Linked DNA regions of Rhinolophus ferrumequinum. The protein of the gene in region 1 binds, or shares a complex with, the protein of each later gene. Links are inferred from orthologs where the notes say so. Each region holds a gene or a part of one and is shown in the gene's direction. Other genes may lie near its edges.

Evidence for each region. The genes of interacting proteins can lie anywhere in the genome.
Region 2: the proteins of PPP2R2A (region 1) and PABIR1 are in contact, whole or in part, in a cryo-EM structure (PDB 8SO0), measured with the Homo sapiens proteins. The link is inferred for Rhinolophus ferrumequinum from reciprocal best matches to the Homo sapiens genes PPP2R2A and PABIR1. Residues at the interface, in NP_002708.1 of Homo sapiens: Phe84, Leu87, Lys88, Ser89, Leu90, Tyr178, His179, Asp197, Met222, Glu223, Leu225, Thr226, Glu227, Val228, Tyr337, Asp340, Phe343; in NP_612206.5 of Homo sapiens: His81, Ser82, Ser83, Arg84, Leu85, Ile88, Lys89, Glu92, Arg99, Glu100, His103.
Region 3: the proteins of PPP2R2A (region 1) and IER5 are in contact, whole or in part, in a cryo-EM structure (PDB 8UO5), measured with the Homo sapiens proteins. The link is inferred for Rhinolophus ferrumequinum from reciprocal best matches to the Homo sapiens genes PPP2R2A and IER5. Residues at the interface, in NP_002708.1 of Homo sapiens: Glu91, Ile92, Glu93, Glu94, Asp116, Tyr178, His179, Asp197, Leu198, Met222, Leu225, Thr226, Glu227, Val228, Thr230, Ser247, Phe280, Phe281, Glu283, Ile284, Ser287, Cys334, Tyr337, Glu338, Asn339, Asp340, Phe343, Lys345; in NP_057629.2 of Homo sapiens: Ala7, Arg9, Ile10, Ile13, Ser14, Lys17, Arg25, Gly26, Lys29, Leu30, His31, Lys32, Leu34, Leu35, Val36, Leu38, Val39, Leu40, Arg41.

Annotation. Positions count from the first base shown.
Region 1 is NC_046301.1:41,060,600-41,067,469, reverse strand, and holds the start of PPP2R2A (serine/threonine-protein phosphatase 2A 55 kDa regulatory subunit B alpha isoform), read left to right. Parts: upstream 1-3,865; 5' UTR 3,866-4,166; coding exon 4,167-4,173; intron 4,174-5,997; coding exon 5,998-6,072; intron 6,073-6,870. UniProt on the Homo sapiens protein: Substrate-recognition subunit of protein phosphatase 2A (PP2A) that plays a key role in cell cycle by controlling mitosis entry and exit. Involved in chromosome clustering during late mitosis by mediating dephosphorylation of MKI67.
Region 2 is NC_046295.1:35,738,178-35,744,488, forward strand, and holds PABIR1 (PPP2R1A-PPP2R2A-interacting phosphatase regulator 1), read left to right. Parts: upstream 1-4,511; 5' UTR 4,512-4,646; coding exon 4,647-5,510; 3' UTR 5,511-5,803; downstream 5,804-6,311. UniProt on the Homo sapiens protein: Acts as an inhibitor of serine/threonine-protein phosphatase 2A (PP2A) activity. Inhibits PP2A activity by blocking the substrate binding site on PPP2R2A and the active site of PPP2CA.
Region 3 is NC_046305.1:13,388,884-13,396,257, forward strand, and holds IER5 (immediate early response gene 5 protein), read left to right. Parts: upstream 1-4,688; 5' UTR 4,689-4,916; coding exon 4,917-5,888; 3' UTR 5,889-6,866; downstream 6,867-7,374. UniProt on the Homo sapiens protein: Plays a role as a transcription factor. Mediates positive transcriptional regulation of several chaperone genes during the heat shock response in a HSF1-dependent manner. Mediates negative transcriptional regulation of CDC25B expression.

The DNA of each region.
Region 1 (6,870 bases):
TTGAATGTTGTTGTGTGAATTGTCATTATAGTCTAGATTTTACAGAGTTTTGGGAAGCTGACTTCAGGCCAAATTTGTAGATATGAAGGAAGTATATAAAAATATACTTGAAATTTTCCCCTGTAAAGCCCTTGAATCTGCTCCATATCAGAAAGCATGGCTGTGGTGGGTTTACCAATATTTTAAACTATCGTTTTCTAATTAGGAACTTCTCCTTTTACCCTGGAGTTCACGGTCTTTCTTAGACACCCCTAGTTCTAACTTGTCTAGAGGAAAGAAGCATCTAAAGAGTGCCACTTCTCATTTAGTGTAGAAGAGGGTTTGTGTTCGTCTTAACTCCAAGGAAAAGAACAACTTGCAAGTAATTCTCCTCTCATTGTATAATACACTTTAAAAAGCTGTCTTGCAAACAACCCACGGGTGAGTCCGTTAGCTCCATTCTGCTGGCAGGATTGTGGGTGTTCTTGGTACCTCTCAGCTCAGCTTGTAAGTAGAACAGCTGCAGGACTTATAGGCTCTGCAGGACTTCACAGGGAAAACCCACAGCGAGTTTCCTCTTGTGTGTCTAAGCTGAACTCAGTTCTGCAGGGAGCTATTTGTTCATCTCACAAGTGGTCAGGTGTTGAAGGGCTGACTAGGGGCTCCCTTGAAAAAATGCTCTCATGGTAGAATGTGGATGAGGGAATGGTGTCCCATGGAATTTCCTTGGATAATATGTATTCAGGGATAAAGGACCAGTTGGATGCAAGTAGTTGGGATGAATCTATCTATAAGCAACTTACATCTTTAACCAACTATTGCCTAACAAATGTACATCAGGATAACCTAGATAATTTGCAAAACGCCTCCTTCTTCTAGGCATAAGAAGGGTGAGTGAAAACATTTATGATATGGCAAGCTTTAAGAAGCCAATATTCCACTGGTTTTCTTCCCAAGCCAGAGATTTATTCATTCATCCATTAATCCAAAAAATTATGTGGCTGGTGATACAGGGATGAATAAGAATATTTCCTACTCTCAAAGAATTCAGTCTAATAACAGACACATATTTAAATAATTTAAACATAATCTAGTAAGAGAGAAGTGCATCAGATTGTATGAGACTATTTAGGAAGGGCACCCAGCCCATTTTAAGGTGAGTAAGGAATGGGGGTGGAAATGAGCAAAGCTTTCCTGGAGGAAGTTACATCCGAATTGTTTTTTAAAGAACCTTTTACTGGCTGAGGAAGGAAAGAGGGATAGGCATGTGGGAATGTTGGAGCGGAGTGGTAACTGGATAGTGATTTTCCAGGCAGAGAAAAAGCATCAACCCAAATGGAGGGAACACAGAATCGAGACTTGTGTTCTGGCAGTGCTTGTTCAAACAAACTTATTGGACATTTGTAAAAATGTCAAGTAGGCAGGTAGAGGTGTGTGTGTGTATCTGCAATTTTGGGGTAAGGATAGAGCTAGAGATCTAGATTTGGCAGCCACTAGTAAATTCATGGTATTTACATCTGTAAATATATGGAAATACTATAAGAGGTTGCCCAAAAGAGTGTGTGATCAGAGAAGGGGACCCAGGACAGAGGCCAGGGAGACAGATCACCCTAACATTTAGAGGATAGTCTGGGAGAAGGAGTCAGCAAAGAAAACTGAAAGGGGTGGCTAGAAAGGTTGGAAGGAAACAAATCGCGTGTCAAGGAAAAATGGTCTCAGTAAGGATGGCGTGAATTAGTCATTTCAAATGCTTTTGGGAAGCTAACAAAACCAAAGAAGTGACTGCTGGATTTGGTAACATGAAGATCATCGAAGACCTTGACAGAAACCATTTCAGTGAAGTGGTAGGGACAGAAGCCCTAGTACAGAGGATGGAGGCTAGAATGCAAGATAAGGAAGGGGGGCTAGACTAGAGCAACCCTTGCCTTTATGCTGGTGGGTATTCTGGCCTCTCTTCTTAAGAGCCATTCAGAAGAAAGGGAGGCGGCTTGTGCTCCACTGATATGACTGTTCAGGGTCAAAACGTGCCAGGTTGCGTGTACCTGGGCGCCAGGATGCACAGACCTTCGATATTACACCCCCCTTAGCTCATCTCATGACATGGAGTGCCCTCTAGACTGTATACAATGCTCTTAGAACAGCGTCCAGGACATTGTCAGTGCTGTATGAACTTTTGTTATCATTACCGCAGTTTCTAGGCAAGCTTTCTTGTCTTCTAAGAAGAACACATCATTTATATAGACCAAATCATTTTTCAGGATGTGTGAAGATTCAAATCTTACACGTGGCAAAAATTGAAGCATAAAAAAGAAAAATGATTTGCATATAGGGGTGCTAGTTTTCAGTTGAACGGTCTGTGTTCTCTCTCTCTCTCTCTCTCTCTCTCAATCTCTCTCTCTCTCTCTCTCTCTCTCTCTCTCTCTCTGTTTCTCCCTCCCTCCCTCCCTCCCTCGCTCCCTCTGAGTTCTGGTTAAGGTGGAGAGCTCTCACTAGTGAAAAGGAAAATGAATAGTAAAGGCACATGCTGAGAAATAAATTTATGGAATCAACCAAAATAGAAGTAAATACAGCAAACAGAGAAGTGAAATGTTGTACCTGTTTGTACAGGTAGCTGAAAGATGACAGATACAGGGTGGATTTTTAGTTTTGATTTGTTCATTGGTAAAGTGAGAAATATTAATGTAGAAACAGAGGAATAATAATACAGTGGTGCAGCTGTTTCATGTGGAAGAATTCTGAATCTTGTTTTGTAATTGAACTCTTCTGGAGAGCAAGACTAAGGTAGAAAGTGGAAATGATGGACAGGAGGTAAATATTGTAAACTTCCCCTTGGTCTCCAAATGCCTTATCACTCTTTTCAGCCTTAAGGTCAAATTCTAAATACTTTGCAGGTGTTTTTCATGTCCAAAATTTGGATATCTATCTCATGGGATTACTGTGGAGATTAAGTGACATGTAAAATGTACAGTAGTATATTGTGACTGCATCATTAATTCATCTTTCAATGAAGTGCACATGCCCTCTTGACTGATAACTAGTGTTTTCTGTTTATTTTTTTCTTATACCTCTTAAATCTATTGAAGATGCTTTCAATACAAATTTAATAATAACCACAGCTAACAGTTATGTACTCAAATTAAGTCATTTAATCTTTGAAACAATCCTATAAAGTAGAATTGTTACCATTATCTCTTGTGTGGACTTAGCATTTGGCAGCCAGGTTTCAGAGCCCAGCTCTTAAACACTGTTTCTACACTTTTAGCTGGACAGAACTGGGCCACTCTTCCAGCCATATTCTGCTACTAGCAAACTCAGTGTTCTGTTTAGTAACCACTCTTAACTGCTTTCAGTCGTCAAGGACTCTCGCCTCAGTTCCCGGGTCACCCAGATGGAACCATTCCAGCTACGTCCTTTTAAGTTCTGTGAACTTTCACCTTGGCTAAGCAGCGAGTTTGCACCACTGTCCCTTTTCTTCAGTGGACTCAGGGCTAACCCACAGGGTCACTATTTTAAGTAGCAATACTGGTATTCTCTAAAAAGACACAGGTCTGCACGAATCCCTCAGTGAGCACTTGAACTGGACAGCTGAGCCCGTCCCAGGGTAAGGACACTGTCACGAAGGCTTGGGACACCGTGATGTGCAGCAGGGCCGCGGGGCTTAGACGGGGAGAGCCGGTACAGGGACCAGATCATCAGCGTGCGTTCCCGGGCGCGGCACGGGCTAGCCACCTAGGACACAGCAGCCGGGAGGGGGAGGAAGGGGCGGAGCCAGAAGCCTGCCCGGCAGCTCCCCCGCCCCTTCCCCTCTGCTGTCCGTCCCAGCTCTTGCCCCGCCCCGCCCTTCTGGCCCAGCCCGGCGGCTCCGCCCCCGGTGACGTCACCGGCCAGGCCAGCCGGCGCCATTTTGAAAGTGGAGCCCCTGCCGCTGCCGCCGCCGTCGCTGTCGTAGCTGCCGCCGCCGCTGCTAAAGAAAGAGCAAGAGCGGGGAAGCACAAGAGTGAAATCCACCATCCTGCTGGCTGGTCTGCCCGCCCCTCCTTCCTTCTTCCCCGACCCCCGCCCCCTCCCCCCACAGGTGCCATCCGCCGCCATCCGCCCTCTCTACCCCCCCATCCCCAGGTGAGGGGGGTGAGTTCAGGAAGCAGAGACCCCGAGGAACCCAGCAGGGTCACCATTTGCAGCGCAACATGGCAGGTAAAGGAGAAATCACCCTCGGCCAGTGACAAGGCACCGCTTCCTTCCTCCTCCCTCCATCACCCCCTAGCGACCGCCTCTGCCTCTCATAGAGCCACGGGGCGCCCCTTGGATTTCGGGGAATTGGTCAAGTGGGGTGGGTGAGGGTGGGGAGGGTTCTGGTGAGGCGAGTGGTCGCTGTGATACCGAAATGGCTTTTAAAATGAGGGCTGGAACCTTGGCATGGATGGGGGTGGGGTGTATGCCGGCGAGCTGTGGGGTAAAGGCGTGGGTGGGGCGGGGTGGGGGCGAGTGCAGATTTGTCCCCACAGCTTTGGAGCCTGGTGTAACCTCTGCTCCCCCCACTTCCCCGCCCCGGGCTTTTTGGCGGATCTTCCTTCATTTAATTACTATTTTTTCCCCTGCTGCAAGCCTTCTTGAGTGTTTATACAAATATATTTTGCACTGAGAAGGAAGAGTGCTTTACAAGTTAAAATGCAATCGGTACATATGTGTATTTTTCCCCACTGTGGGTACGTATATTTTTGAGACTGATTTGTTTTGTTTCCAACCATCTCCCTTTCGTTTCTTACCCTTTACATCCAAAGAGTGCAAGGTCTTGAATACAGCAAGTTGCATGAAAAATGTGATTTCAACTTTCCGTTTTGCATGTTAGCTTTTGTGCAGATGTCCTTTTCCCAAAAGGCATTCAATCGAGTTAGTTAAAATAGTTGTGGAGTTCAGTGATATAAATAGCCATGGGTAGAGGGATTTAGGTAAAAGCTTGGGATGGAGAGGGGATACATAGAGAAAACCAGGTTGGAATATTTAGCAAGGAATGGAAGTGAAGGAAGAGCAAGATAATTGCTTTGAGGATTACTTTTGTACATTTTGCTGTTGCTGAGTATCCTTCATGTAGTAGAATCAATTCTAGATCTGGATTCAGTTTCTTTATCCATCGATGCAGGACATTTCCTCCTCAAGTGCTTAGAAGTGAAATAGAAACATTCAGAGACTAAACCAATTTTCCGGGCTTCTTTCAATATTTAGATAGATGATTAAATCTTTGAAAAGTTAACATGTTGGGTTTACTTATGGTTTGCTATAAACAAGTTGCTCTTTGGCCTTGTCGAATAATTAAGTGAAATTAAAATTGTTTCGCACAAGATGACAAATTAGCAAAATTAATTCTCTGCAAGGTCCTCTGGAATCTGAGGGATAAGGTGAAGGGAGGCAAAACAAGCTTCCTTTTGACAGTCTCTTCACCAGTATTCATTTCTGCTTTTCCTCTCGAGCTAGTGATTTGCTGGTAATGAAATGCAAGAAATGGGTGGTGAGTGTTGTGTTTGCTGTATGTGCTCTTTGGTGATAGGTTCTTATGAATCCTTGCTCCTCAGGCAGGCAGTAATGTTCCTGAAGTTTTCTCCTCGTGCCATGTTTTATGGTAGTTTAACCTTATTGACTCTTCTAGAAGCAGGCTTTTTAAAGGAAAACACTCTTTAAAGGAAAACTCTCTAACTTTTGGTATTTGCTTTTTCCTGGTAGGTCGTGCTTGAATGTAAGGTTTTTACTGTATTTGAGGGAAAAGGATGTTTTAAACACATGTATAGTGTTAATGCCAGTACATGGCCTTTAAATATTTCATACCCCGAATCTCTTGTTTTCTAAAGCAATACCAGCTATTGGGGACTAGCCTTTTTTCAAATTAGTGCTCTGGGGTGGTGGTAATGTATGTGGGCAGTATGAGGCTATTAGTATCATGCCAACCATGGATATCATCTCAGTGTTGACCGGAGTAAACATGAACGGAGCTCAGTTTTAATTGGTATGTTTTCTTTTTTCTAGGAGCTGGAGGAGGGAATGATATTCAGTGGTGTTTTTCTCAGGTGAAAGGAGCAGTAGATGATGATGTAGCAGAAGGTAAGAAAGCATTTAATAATGCAGAATTTGAGTATAGAATGTTCAAAATCTTGATTACTGAAAATTTTCCTCGCAGATGAGTCTGTTAATAGTTGAAGAACATTTTGTATTGTCCAAGCAATGGAAGAACAGTTTTAAAAGTTAACCTTTCTGGAAAGTAGTCTTAAATTCTTCATTCTTTATGCCTCATTTTATTATTTTTTCCTGAATTAAATGAAAGGAACAGTAGATTATAAATATGAAACCCATGAAAAGAAAAGTCTGAGGTCTGTATGATAAAGGTTTCCTTGCTATATAAATTTCACTCACAAATAAATGGTGATGCATCTTCATGTTTGTATATAATTTTTAGATAATTAAGCTGAAATAGGTGCATCAGCATTTAGCTCAGAAGCATCTTGACAGCATCTTTTATTTCTGAAGGAAGATTTTTAGTTTTTTTGAACTTGCCTATTTTGAGATTGTGGTGTTGATTGGCATATTCTGTGAAGAAATGCTTGTTCAAGGGATGCATTTTATTGTCTTGTAAGGATTGATTTACGTGGGCAAGAAAACAGTGCTATGGATATATTGCACGTCTTCTGAGGGGCTGCCTTATTCTTGTGCTTTTAGAAGCTGGATTCAATCAGTTGAAGTGCTTAATTCTTAATTTTACCCCCAAAATTGTTTATTAGTGTATTTCAGAAGTTTAAAGTTTTGAAACTTTAGGGTTTTGCACTCATCTGAAATGGTCTTAGATGAAAGAGGCATTATTTCCCAAAAAGTAGTTGCATTATTTCATCATTCAGAAATATTACT
Region 2 (6,311 bases), on another chromosome or scaffold:
ATTAAAAGGAAACTACCTGTTAGTTTGAAAAAATAGAATCTTAATCACAGTAAAGTTTAACTATTGAATAGATGTCTTGTTTTCTGACTTAGGAGTGAGTATCAACTAAGTATAGTATTTAATTCATACCAGATTGAAACCAGAAGGGTGAATTGACTCAGAGGAGATCTCCTGGATCCTTCCTCTGGTGTCACTTTTGCAACAGGCTGAATTGCATTTTATGGCTGCTATTTTCTCTCATTTATCCTTTATTCCTTTGAGAGGAAGCAGTAATTCAATATATTAAACACTGCTTAGAATCCTCAGCACTGAGCATTTTAATTCTGTCAAGCGTGTATCAGCATACTGTTGAAAAAGAATGGAAACTTAGGGCTTCAGTTTGTTAGTTTTCTTGAACTAACCATTATGTCAACTATCTCCATGGACTGGAGGGCGCTATAATTAATAATAATAATCTCGATATAAGAAAAAGAATTGTCAAAGTTAGGAGCACTTGGAGTCAGTCTAGAAAAGCCTGTTAGACTGTATTTTCAAATAATCATTTTCTTCTCTTTTGGACAAAGCTACGTTAGTTCATTCATTCATTCATTCATTCATTTAACATTTACTTGACACAGTGACTCAGCAACTATTTAGAGTGCTGTGTACAAGGCCCTGTTCTAGCTACTAGACATACAGCAGGGAACAAAGCAAAAGGCTTGCTGTCATGGAGATGACCTCCTTGAGTATAAGAGGCAAGAAAACAGTATATACATATATGTCATGTGGTGCTCTGGAGGAACATAAAAACAGAGTAAGGGCATGGGAGAGTAGGCTTGGTGTTGGGAACTGCTGTTGCTTTTATAAGGAAGGTCAGGGAAGGTCTCTCGGTTAATGATATTTGTGCAGAGCCCTGAACGGATAGAACAGTGTGGACATCCACTGGAAGAAGAGTAAGCCTGGTGGGCTAAAGAACAGTAAGGAGGCCTCTGCAGTTTGAGGGGAGGCAGTGAGGGGGCATGTAGTTAGAAGTGGGGACAGAGAGAGAGAAGTGACCCACATCAAATAGGGCTCCATTGATGATTGTAATAACTTCAGCTTTTTCTCTGAGCAGGAATCCACTGCAACATTTTGAACAGAGAAGGGACTATTCAAGTATTTTTCTTTCTTTCTTTTTTTTTTTAAGGCTGATCTGGAACATTGGGTGGAAAATTGACAGCAGAGACAAGGGTAGAAACAGGGAAATGAGTGAAGATCTCCAGTGGGTTCAGACAGAAACCAAATGGCAGAGATGTTTGATTTTGTGGACTTATCACCATCTCTGTGCTTTATCAGTAAAGATAATAATTGTATTTATCCAGGCATGGATGAACAGTGTCATCACATTTGAGAAACATTGGAAATAATTTAGTAATATGCAACTTAGCAAAATGCTATGGATATTATAAAATAAACTCTGTAGTTAATGCTTTTTTTTCTATTTAATATTAGTTTTCTTCTGGATGCTCTTCCTCCATCCTCCTCCATTTTTAATTAATAATGTACCATTCCTTGTGATACTCATGTTTGAACTTCAGTCATTTGTGACTCCTCTGTCTTCATCCTCTGTACATCCTGGCAGGTTCCGCTGTTACCTTCCGGTCTCCCAAAATTCATCTCCTTTTCCTGCCATTCCCAACTTTAGTTGAGACCGTACTTTCATCTCAGAGTTCGTCATCAAATTCTCCTTCTCTAATCCATGGGAAATGAAACAAAAAAAATATAGATTTAGAAATGAGACCTTGATTCAGATTGGTTCAGACCTTTGCTCTTCCACATAGCTGTATCACCTTTTGCAGTTTCTGAACCTCAGTTGTCCTTCTATGAAATGAGCATAACAGTATCAACAGGATCGCAGTGAGGATTAAGAGGGTCTATGGAGTGTGTAAAGTGCTTGGCAGGTAGTAGGCACTTAGAAAACGTTGATTCTTTCCACCTTCTGTTCTTCCACTTAGCTCCATCCTTGATCTGCCTGGCAGGTCCTAGAGTACAGCTCTCATTGTGTCACTCCTCTTGTCAAACACCATCAATGGTTCCCTCTGGCCTCACATGTTAAATACAGGCATCCAGAGCTCCAATTCTCTCACTCTAACTTCCATTTAAAACATTTTTCCCATTACTATTCTTCTCCATGTACTTCATGTGTTAGCCAAATTCACTATTTTATTATCATGCTGCCACTTCGAAATGTCATCTCTATATTAATATCTCTATAATACCTATGCTTCAGATCCTGTCTCAGAACCCATTGCCTTCACAAAGCTGCTAACAATCTGCAAGTGGAAATGGCACTTGGAGGAAGAACCCTGGGTAACATTGTGCCAGGCTCTGGGTCCACATCCTGGTACTTACTATTATCCTGGGGATATTACTTAATCTCTGCAGCTCAGTTTCCCCTGCAAAATGAGAACAATAATACCTACTTCATAGAGTTGTTGTGAGGATTAACTGAGGTACTACATGTGAAGCACTTTGAATGAATGCCTGGCACTTGGAAAACTTAAATCAGTTTCTGCATAATTCTAGGCATGAATAATCAACGTTATTTTATCATCAGGACCTGTATTTTACAGGGAATTCAAGTTAAAAGCTGTTTGAGACACGGTGGAAAGAGGCATGGACTAGGAACCAAGAGACCTGGATTCTGGTACTGGTTCCCACTATTAAACAAGCTGTGTGATGCTGAATATGTCACTTAGCCTCTCTGGATCTTACTTTCTTCAGCTGCAAAAAGAGGGGGATGAACAAAAATCACTAAGCTTTCTTTCAGTTCAAATAGCCCCATGGATATCTAATAACCACCTCTAACTCAAATCAACCAAAACAGAACTCTTAATTTCCACTTCTCTAAACTCACTCCTTTTCTATCTCAGTAAATGATACTATCATCTACCGCCCCAGTTCAAGTAAAAAAGCATATGAGTTGCCTTTGAATCATCTATTTCTTTCATCATCTAAATATAAACATAAAATGTATTTCCAAAACATATCCTAAATCCATCTACTTCTCATTGCCACTGCTACAACCCTAGTCCAATAATCTTGTCTGTATTGTTGCCAAAGGTTCCTAATCCGTCTTTCTGCCTACACTCTTCCCTCTTTCAGCCTATTTTCCACAGAGCCAAAGTGATATTTAAAACCTAAACCAGATAATATCACTCTCCTTCTTAAAGCTCCCCAGTGGCTTTTCATCGTACTTATAATGAGATCCAAACCCCTTTACGCCCTCCAACACTCCCCCTTATGCTTCAGCTGCATGGCCCTGTTTCCTTCTTCTAGCTCACCAAGCTCATGTCTGCCTTGGGCCTTAGCACTTGCTATTCTCTGTACTTGGAACATTCATCCACCAGAAGTCAACATGACTTACTTCTTGTCATTTAGATCTAAGCTGTGTCTAATTGCCCCCTGCCTTCTACCAGTAGTGCTCTATCATAACCTATTTTATTTTTTTTACTATCTGAAATAGCCTATTATCTCTTTGTGCCCTGTATAAATGACCCCATATTAGGGTCTAATTCCTAACACAGTGCCTGGCACATAGTAGGTATACAGAAAAAATATGGATGAATAATGAATGAATGAATGAATGAATACATGAAGAATTAAGTATAAACCCATTTTAATTTTAATATCAACAAATTTTAATATCAAAATTTGTGTTAACTACGTGAGCCAAGTATTGTGCTTTTTATTTTTAAAGTATGCGAACCTATTGGTTTTCCCTTCATTTAATGTCTCGTACTGAATGAACATTATTGAGCACATATGCTTGTGCTAGAAATATGACTAAATAAAACAATAGTAATACAGTTACAGGTTATTTTTTCCCCTTAACCCAAATAATTCTCAAATTGGCCGTTTTCTCCGTTCCTCTCCCACACCTTAGTGCAAACTTCCATCCTCTCTGACCTAAAGGATCGCCTCCCTTCTGATCTTTTTCTTGTGGGTTCTAATCTCCCAATAATCTACACTCCAGACTGCGGCCAGCGAGCTTTCCAGTCGCTATTATTACACCTATGCTTGAAAACCTTCGGAGTTTTCATTGTTCTCAGGATAAAGACCAGAAATCTGCGCTGCTCCACCACGTCACATCAGGCCAGCCCTCTCTCCCACCCTGGTTCCCGCCTGCCACCTGGCTGGTAGCCCGAGCTTCCCGCTTCCCGGACAGTTCTCCACTGCACCCATTTCTCTTCTTCGGATCTCAGATTGTCCCTTAGGGAAGCCGTCCTTGGTTAGGCCAAGGGCCAATCCCCGTCACACAGCCTCACATCAGCAAGGGCCTCTCTTTCAGAGCTTTTATTTTATAAATATATACTCCTGAATATGGTAACTTGATTAACATGTCAATGCGAGCTTGCGCTCAAAAGCTATTTGCGGAAGGGACTGAAGGACTAGATGTCCAACTGCTCCTCACCCCTCCCCCTAGGACCGCGGCGCATCTATTACGCATTAAGTTGGCGCCGCGAGAGCGCGCGCAGGACGCCTGCGCGAAGGGGCACGCATGCGCAGAGGGAGGAGCCCGCTGACAGATTCTCGGTGGCGGCGGCGGCGGCGGCGGCCCTGGACTGCGGGGAATGGGAGCCCTAGGTCTCTGACTGAGCACCGCCCCCGCCTCCCTGCCCCCCGACATGGCTCAGGAGAAGATGGAACTAGACCTGGAGCTGCCTTCGGGTACGGGCGGGAGCCCAGCGGAGGGCGGCGGCAGTGGCGGCGGCGGGGGCCTCAGGAGGTCTAATAGCGCCCCCCTGATCCACGGCCTCAGTGACACTTCCCCGGTGTTCCAGGCCGAGGCGCCGAGCGCCAGGCGGAACAGCACAACGTTCCCGAACCGCCATGGCCTGCTGCTACCGGCCTCCCCGGTCCGCATGCACAGCAGCCGCTTGCACCAGATCAAACAGGAGGAGGGCATGGACTTGATCAACCGAGAGACGGTCCACGAGCGCGAGGTGCAGAACGCAATGCAGATAAGCCACTCCTGGGAGGAAAGTTTCAGTCTGAGTGACAACGATGTGGAGAAATCTGCCTCTCCGAAGCGCATCGATTTCATTCCGGTGTCACCAGCACCGTCACCCACCCGGGGAATTGGGAAGCAGTGTTTTTCACCATCCTTGCAAAGTTTTGTGAGTAGCAATGGATTGCCCCCAAGTCCTATTCCCAGCCCAACGACCCGGTTTACTACTCGGAGAAGCCAGAGTCCCATTAATTGCATCAGACCAAGTGTTCTTGGACCATTGAAAAGAAAATGTGAAATGGAAACTGAATATCAGCCAAAGAGATTTTTCCAGGGCATCACCAACATGCTTTCTTCTGACGTTGCACAGCTGTCAGATCCTGGTGTGTGTGTATCCTCTGATACCCTTGATGGAAACAGCAGCAGTGCCGGATCTTCTTGTAACTCACCAGCGAAAGTCAGCACTACCACCGACTCTCCGGTGTCACCTGCCCAGGCGGCCTCTCCATTTATTCCAGTAGATGAACTTTCATCTAAATGATTCGCCGACCCATCCCGAGACTGTTTTATTTTTGCAATGGAGAGAAAAATCGGTTGGAGCAAGCACTGAACTCTGTCAATTAATTTGAGGCTCTTTCCTATTTGATCCTTTTCCTTTTTTGGAATTTCCTGAAATGTTGTTATTCTAGAGAACTTTTATGTCAGGTTCCTGCGGATGCCCTTGAATTCAGTGTAGTAATATTTTCAGACGTTTTCCCAATAAGTGTGTTGAAGCATACATCTTTACGCTGCTAATATGTCTAAATACATATGTTATCCCTTGATTTTTTAAAAATAATTGAGAGCTCTATTTATTTATGGGATTTTTAAGTTCTGATGCAAATATAAATGTTGAATTAATCAGCATAGTAAACTGTTTTAAAATTCCATACTTCATGCCCACACTAATTTTTAATGTTATTTTTAGTGATTGCTACTTTCTGTGTGATGAAGAACAATAACTTAACCTATTTACAGCTATTTTTAAAATATGTTAGTTATAACATATCAATCCAGTGGTTGTCTGTTTTATCCAGGAATCCTTGGATATTTAATTTTCTGGGTACAGAAATGGATGGGAGGGGGAACGATAAAAGAACAAAATATAAACCTTTGCAAGAAATCTTTTTAAATTAAACATATAAAAGTAAACATATTTAAGAAAAACATTTTCAAGTGAAACTTAATAGTAATTCTGGTAAGTTGTACAAATATAACCACTATACAGAAAATGAATTTTTTTGTGTTTACCAGCAAGTGCATTTTCTTGAGTATAATCCTAAAGTAAATGGACAGTGCCTTG
Region 3 (7,374 bases), on another chromosome or scaffold:
TGCTTATTGAGGAATTTGTTTTCCTTCGCAGTATTAAAAAAGGCAAAGTATGACAAAAATGATCATAAGAACCACCTAAGGCTTTCTGAACCAAGACAACATTTAGGACAAGAAGGAGGGTGGGCCTATAATAGTTTAGGAAAGGAAATGGGGAGGAGGAAAGAAGCGAGGTTTCCGTGCCCACCCCTAGTCAAATGCTATTTGAAGATAAAGAAACTCTATTTTTTTTAGCATGGTAAACATTTCATATCTTTTTTTTTAATTTTTATTTATTTATTTTTAATTTATTGGGGTGACAATTGTTAAGTTGCTCAGCAGTCAAGAGGAAAGAAAGGATGTAAAATATGCCAGAACTGTGAGAGAGAAAAAGTTGAATGAAAAAGTGGATTTTGTGTGTTCTCAGAGGAGCACGAGGAATATTGCTTACGTAGAATGCTAACAATGTATTTTTATAGCGCTTTCCCCCCTAAACAATTCAGGATGTCATACAAATAATCATTCACTCACATGAGCAACTTTGACTAAAAAAAAAAATTTCCAAATGTTCTAACATTGAGAGGTAGGCACAGTGCAGATGTTTTTATTTCACCCACCCCCTTTTCACTCGTTTCTTCTCACGGAGCTATTGTTTGCATAATCCATAGTGGGTTTGCATTGTTCTTATATAGACTAGACCCAATTTAAGGCAATAGGAGCTCTGCAACCATCTGATAATACTGAGCCTTCAACGAGTCATGCAAACAAGACAAAGTCAATAGCAGTGGGTAGACAGCCCTTTCCTGAGAGGAATCCCCAGGCCGGAGACCCATAGTGCCTGATTGGGGACAACTGTGGCCAACGCTCCGCGTGTTCATCTCCTTGTGCCCAGTGGAGAAGATGGGGGATGGACGGACAGACCAGACCCAATGGACATGCTTGGCCACTTCTTCCAGAGCACAGAGCAGTTGCTTCCTCTGTCCTTCGGACACCCTTCGTGTTTCTCATAGTGCTACCAGTTTTTTTTTTCTTTTTAACTGAGAAAATCTCAAAGATTGATGACAGCAAACTCTCTCAATTACCTGCTTCCTAAAGCTTAGAAGACTATGTTCTGTATCTTCCCACTTTTTCTGGTAGGCGGAGGTGAAGCTTGCTGATCCTAAGAGCCTAGGCCCTCCAAAGATGAGTTCTCCAGGTTGTACTTTGTTGTCTCAGGAGTAGAGGATAATAATTGTGATCGCACTCAATTTCAAGTCAGCAGATATTTATAGAGCACCTAGTATGTGGTATAATAGAAAACGCATTCAAAATTCAACTGGGACTAAGAGTGTACCTACTGTGTGCTTGGTACTGAGCTAGGCACTGGTATAACCATAACTAGACTTAGTAAGCGCTTGTATGGTGCTAGAGACTGTACGTATGTTTATTATTCCCATTTTACACAATAGGTGACTAGGCACAGAAATGTTGCAAAACTCAGACTGGATTTTCTTATTTCACCGAGATGTGAAATCACTTTCCAAAAGTCATATAGCAAGTAAGAGGTAGAATAAGGTAGTGGCACCTCACAGCCCTTCCCTCAAGCTTTAAATAGGTTCACAGTTGAAATCCACCCTCTCTGCCTACAGCTGTATGACTTTAGGAAAATTACTTAAACTTTTAAAATCCTAGTTTCCTCATCTGTAAATGGATATAATGATATGTAATATTTTCAGAACTTTCTACAGATGATAAATAATGCCTGTAAAGTGGCTAGCGCAGTGCCTGGCAGACAATATCATTATTAGTGATTCATAAATCCAAATGCATAATCACTCAGTATATAGTGCTATGGCTACCCACCCCTGTTGTTAAAACATTGAAAGTCTTCCATGCCAGTTGGCAGACCCCTTGAGTGCCCCACGTCCTGGCCATCTTGCCCCTCCTGTAGGAGCCTCCCATAACTCCTGGCCCTCTAAGCGTCTCCAGGACTCCGCTCTGATGCTTAGTGCCTGTGTTGCCCTGTGTGTTAACTGTGTTAACTGTGGCAACACAGTTAAGTATTTTCACTATTGCCTGGCTACAAATATGAGATGGACTCCTGCCTCTGTTGAGAGTACAGTTTGGGAGGGGCCCTGGGCATGACAGCGGAAAGTGAGGAGGTCAGAGATGAAAGAGAATGTTTCACACGGTGCAGGATGGTGATACACCCCGCCCAGATTGGTCAGGACGGCTTTATCAGTGACCTGTTTAGGTGGGTGGAGGCATCCCGGGTCATCACTAAAGCTCCTTTTGTCTCTCAGTTTTTTTCATTCTTGCCACCTCCACCGAGTTCAGTCCTTCATGACCCTTTGCCTAAACTTCCACAAGTGCTTTACGATTAAGTGGTTCTCTTTGTAATTAAGTGTACTGTTCTAGAATCCATTCTTTGGTTCCCTTACTCAATAACCTTTAGTAGATTCCTGTGGCCCCCATCTCCTTATTGAGGCATCCACGACCCATTATCATGTAGCACCAGCCTCAGTTTCCATCCTTTTCCACCTCCTGTAGGTGTCTGGCACACCTGCCAAATGAGATGGTCTCCACCAGGGGCTCTGTTGCTCCTGCTGCTTGGAACTTGTGGGTCCTACTTCAGAGTTTTTCTGTGTCCTCCTCAAATGCAACTTCTTTCTCCCATCTCCGTTCCTCCTCCCACCCCATGCCTCTTCTCCCACCCCAAAGTTGTATTGGGGGGTGATGTGTTCTGATAACTGAAATACATTGGTAGCTTATTATATGCCAGGCTGTTCTAAGAGCTTTGCATGTGTTACCTTGTTTTAGCCTCACAAAAACTCTTAAGAGGTAGCCACTATTATTATCTCTATTTTAAGATGAAAAAGACCAAGGCACAGAAAGGTGAAATAACTTTCCAGAGGTCACACTGCAAGTAAAATGTGGAGCTGGGATTGCAACTCAAGAAGCTTGTCTTCCGAGCCTGTACTCTTACTCAGTGTTTTTTAGTAACTAATAGCTCTCAAAGAAAGAGAAAATGGAAACATTTCTCTCATGTTATTCCTCAAACTGCAAGGCTTGCTTTTGTAATTATTTGTGTTATTATTTCCTCTCCTTCTTTATGTGAGCTGCAAATTCCTGGAGGGAAGGAACTCTGGGTCTCATGGACCGGTGTGTCAGTTACCTTCAATAAGTTGTGATATTTCTGAGCCATCACATCCTTTGGAGCCTCTGATTGTGACTTGGCCATCATCAAGCCCACTTTTCACTAGTATTTCTTCTAACTAAATATAGCAAATCCTCCAATGTCATTTTCTTCAATTGTTTCGTTATAAGGTTGATGAGATGCTGTGGGAACTTAACTCTTGTTTATATCAATTAGCCTGTGGTAAAATCAGTTGTGTTCTGTGGCGTGTCTGTAGACTACTTGGCCAAACTCTGGTCAGGCCAACAGTTCCACCTGGACTCCGAGAAAGCTGTACTTCGTTTTATGATTCAGATTGTGGCTGAGTTGTCATTTCCCTTCTGCATAATAGAGCAGATGTGTGTGTGTGTGTGTGTGTGTGTGTGTGTGTGTGTGTGTGTGTGTGTGAGATTTCTCCCTTTTAGAGCTGGCGAAACTAAGGTGTTCTGAGGTTATTCACTCAGTTGTCAGGCAGGTCTGTGGTGGAGCTTAGGTGGGTCTAACTGAAACTGATTCTCCAGGAACCCAGTCTAGGACCCTGGCCAACCCTGTGGTGATTCTGCCCTAAATGCCATGTACTAAGGATCAGTAGAAGGGCTAAGTTGTTGACTGACCAGAAAATTCTGGAACACTCTTCCCCTATATTTTTACCTTGACACAAAATAAAATTATGACATCATGATGAGAACACAGGACTTCTCTATTTGTATTTTTAGAACTTGCTCGATTTTTTTTCAAGGGTGGCTGGTCAGTCCTTGGGTTGAAGGAAAAATCATTGTGGAGAACTTGTCCCACCTTTCCTCATAACCTGTGTGACAACGGTTTGTTCTAAAATCTGGAGAACACACAATAATAGATGCTGGCTTTAGTGGAACACCAGTAACTTTTTACCTAGACACAATTCCTTGATAAGCAACCAAAACTGAGAAACTTTTCGAACCCCCGTTTTCTTCATTCCGTGTTAGAATTGATGGCTGCTAAGAGTGTATGTGACTCTAGGGGGCAAGGGACTCATACAACATTAATATCTGCTAAATCTCTTATAGTAATACTATTGTTGTCCAGGGGCTTTCCCTTGCCGCATTATGCTGTTATCTTCATTTCTGCCAGGGTTGGCCAGGAGCTTACAGGTGTGTGCTGCCTTGAAAATGGAAGTGTGGGGGCGGGGGTGGGGGGAGGTGAACCAGGACAGATCCGGACTTTATTGCAGAGCAAGGTCCACCACCATACTCGGATGAAAGTTCGAATGGCTTAGCTCGCTTTGGTTCTGGCACACCAGCGCACAAACCAGATTCTTTACCTACAAACAACACGGTGGCTATGCCTCCTCCCCATCACCCGCCCTAGGAACACAGACGCCGCACAACCCGCCAGTCCCTCGCCACACGCGTAGTCCCCTTTAAGAGCCTGCTCCGCGGGACTAACGTTCGAATGGCTCTGGCGCCCCTCCTCGGTCTCCGATTGGCCGCGTGTAGAGCATGAGGGCGCGTTGACCCGCCCCGGAACGGTTGGCGGCCCTTCGCGATTGGCGGGCGAGGAGCATATATAAGGCGCCGGGGGAGTGGGACTGCCCTCAGTTAGCGACCAGGCACCTGACCGGACAGGAAACTGGGTAGTTACCTGTTGTGGAGGGGACGCGGAGGTCAATAAGCGCGTCACAGGAATCGTTTCTTTCTGGAGTCTTGGGGAGGATTTCTTGACTCCTCCAATTTCTCTCCCTGTTTTTGGACCCTAGCCGGGGCTCAACCCTCCTCTCCGTGCTGCCCGTGAAGGGGCTCCAGGCAGGATGGAGTTCAAGCTGGAGGCGCACCGCATCGTCAGTATTTCCCTGGGCAAGATCTACAACTCGCGGGTCCAGCGCGGCGGCATCAAGCTGCACAAGAACCTTCTGGTTTCGCTGGTGTTGCGCAGCGCCCGCCAGGTCTACCTGAGCGACCCGTGCCCCGGCCTCTACCTGGCCGGTCCGTCAGGGACCCCGATGGCGCTGCCGCAGCTGCCCGGGGAGCCTGCGGCCGGCCCCGCCGCGGGATGGGGAGAGCCGGCACCGCCGGCCGTCCCGGCCGCCTGGCAGGAGACCCAGCCGCACCCGGAACGCTCCGCCGTCCCAGACGCTCAGCGGGCGGTTGACGCGGAGCCCGCGGCTCCCGGGATCGACGCCGGGGACGCTGTCCTGGGCGGACAAGCGGCTGCGGGACCTGCCTGGCGCCTCATGGAGGGACCGCGAGAGGCAGCGGCCGGAGGACCCGGGAACCCCGCCGGAGCCTCGGAAGTCTTCCCCGAGGTGGCCCGGGCGGCGAGCCACCACTGCGGCCGCCCCCCAGGAGGGGAGGACCAGCCGGGGGCGCTGGGCGCCACCCCCCGCGGTGACTGCTGCTGTGCGAAGGAAGAGGCCCCCGCGCCGCCCCCCATCGGCCCCAGGAAGCGCGGCGCGGCAGGGGCGGGTGGCGTCGGTGGCCCGGCGGGCTGCCCCGCGCCCAGCTCGACCCCGCTGAAGAAGCCCCGCCGGGACTTGGAGGAGCCGTCGAGCGGGGCGGCGGCCGAGGAGGAGGAGGAGATGGAGACCGGGAACGTGGCTAACCTTATTAGCATCTTCGGTTCCAGCTTCTCGGGACTCCTGCGGAAAAGCCCCGGGGGCGGCCGGGAGGAAGCCGACGGAGAGGAGAACGGTCCGGAAGCCGCCGAGCCCGGGCAGATCTGCTGCGATAAGCCGGTGCTGAGAGACATGAACCCCTGGAGCACAGCCATCGTGGCCTTCTGAGCCCTCGGTCTCCGTGCGGGCAGGCGAGTGAGCAGCTGGCGTACCGACGCGAGGGCTGGGCCTCTCCCAGCTGCGAGGACGACCCGGAGACCGTGGGCGCCGAGCGTGTTGGGGAGACTGTGGCAGCTGCCCGGCAGTGCGCGCTGCCCGTGGCCTTGGGCACCCTGCTGTGCCGGCCTCTCTCTCGGGGCCCTTCTTGAGACTTGGGCATGTGAGGCTTATCGGAAGAGGACGCTCGTTCACTTGTGTGTCTGTGTATGTCTGTGTTGTAAGTTTGTTTTGTGATTTAAGACTATTTTGTCCTTCTGGAATGCATCACCCCTTCCCCAGCCAGGGCTTAGGAGACGGGGGGCAGACAGGGACTTTCCTCTGCCAGCAGCCCCAAGAAGGAAGCGGCGAAAAGGGCCGGGGAGTTCCCCGCGCGTTCTTGGGGCAGGAAGGGACTTTACACACACCCCTCACATGAAAGCTAGAACGGTACCAGGGCCAGGAGTGGCGTTTCCTCGCAGGATTTCCTAAGACTAGAGGGATTTAGCCTGCAGTCGAGACTTGTATTATTTCTCTCCCTCCCCACCTTTCTCTCTCACTGAAGCACCGTTTATACCCTGTGATTACTCTGGGAAAGGGGAATCTTAGCGGCCCTTGTCTTCCCCAGAGGGAAAAACGCTTGACGAACTTCTCAGAAGAGGTCAAGCTTGGAAATACGGAGTTTATAGAGAAAAGATATATTTTTAAAAGCTCTAGTTCAGAACTACTACACAGTGCTTTTAAAAAATGTTTAATGAAACAAAGTTTACAGACAGAACCCTTAAGTGGAAAGATCTTATGGTTTTGTAGATATGGTGACTCCAGTCTTTGTTGTATAAAGGTTGGGGGAGCTGACAAGGTTTTTGTACAGTATTTTCTCCTTCGTTGTATTGATTTTTGTATAAAAATGTAACTCTACGTGTCTAACACGTATTAAATATTTTGAAGCAACTTCACTGCCTCCTTGCCTGTTCATCACCAGTCTGGGTTGGGAGGGGGGTGGGAGGAGGGAGACTGTGGTCCAGGCTGGAAAATTGAAGGTGTGGTTGTTAATATCAGTCAAGCACAGACTGCGGACATTGTTTGCTGACTTTAGTGAGTATCCAGAGAGACACGTTTAAGGTTTCTCCCCCAGATCAGAGGACTGCTACCAGATACTAATGTCAGTGGCCTGCCTGTTTCTTGAAACTTGCCACTTCCAGCCGCCTTTTCTAAAGTCATATTAGGCCAATTTGATTTTTTTCTCAGCTCAATCTGTTGGTGTCTTACTTAATATTAAATAGCTGAAGCGCCAACTTTTGAAGCCCTTCCCATCCTGGAAAAGGTTTTCACTGAAACTTTTTGTCTCCTGCTAAACTGTATTACTTGGGTCCTCTTTCAGCTTTGTTATTGAAAAGAAACTGACAGGAGGGAAACTGAGGAGACTGACTCGCCCAGCTGATCAGGTCCACCTCTGCAT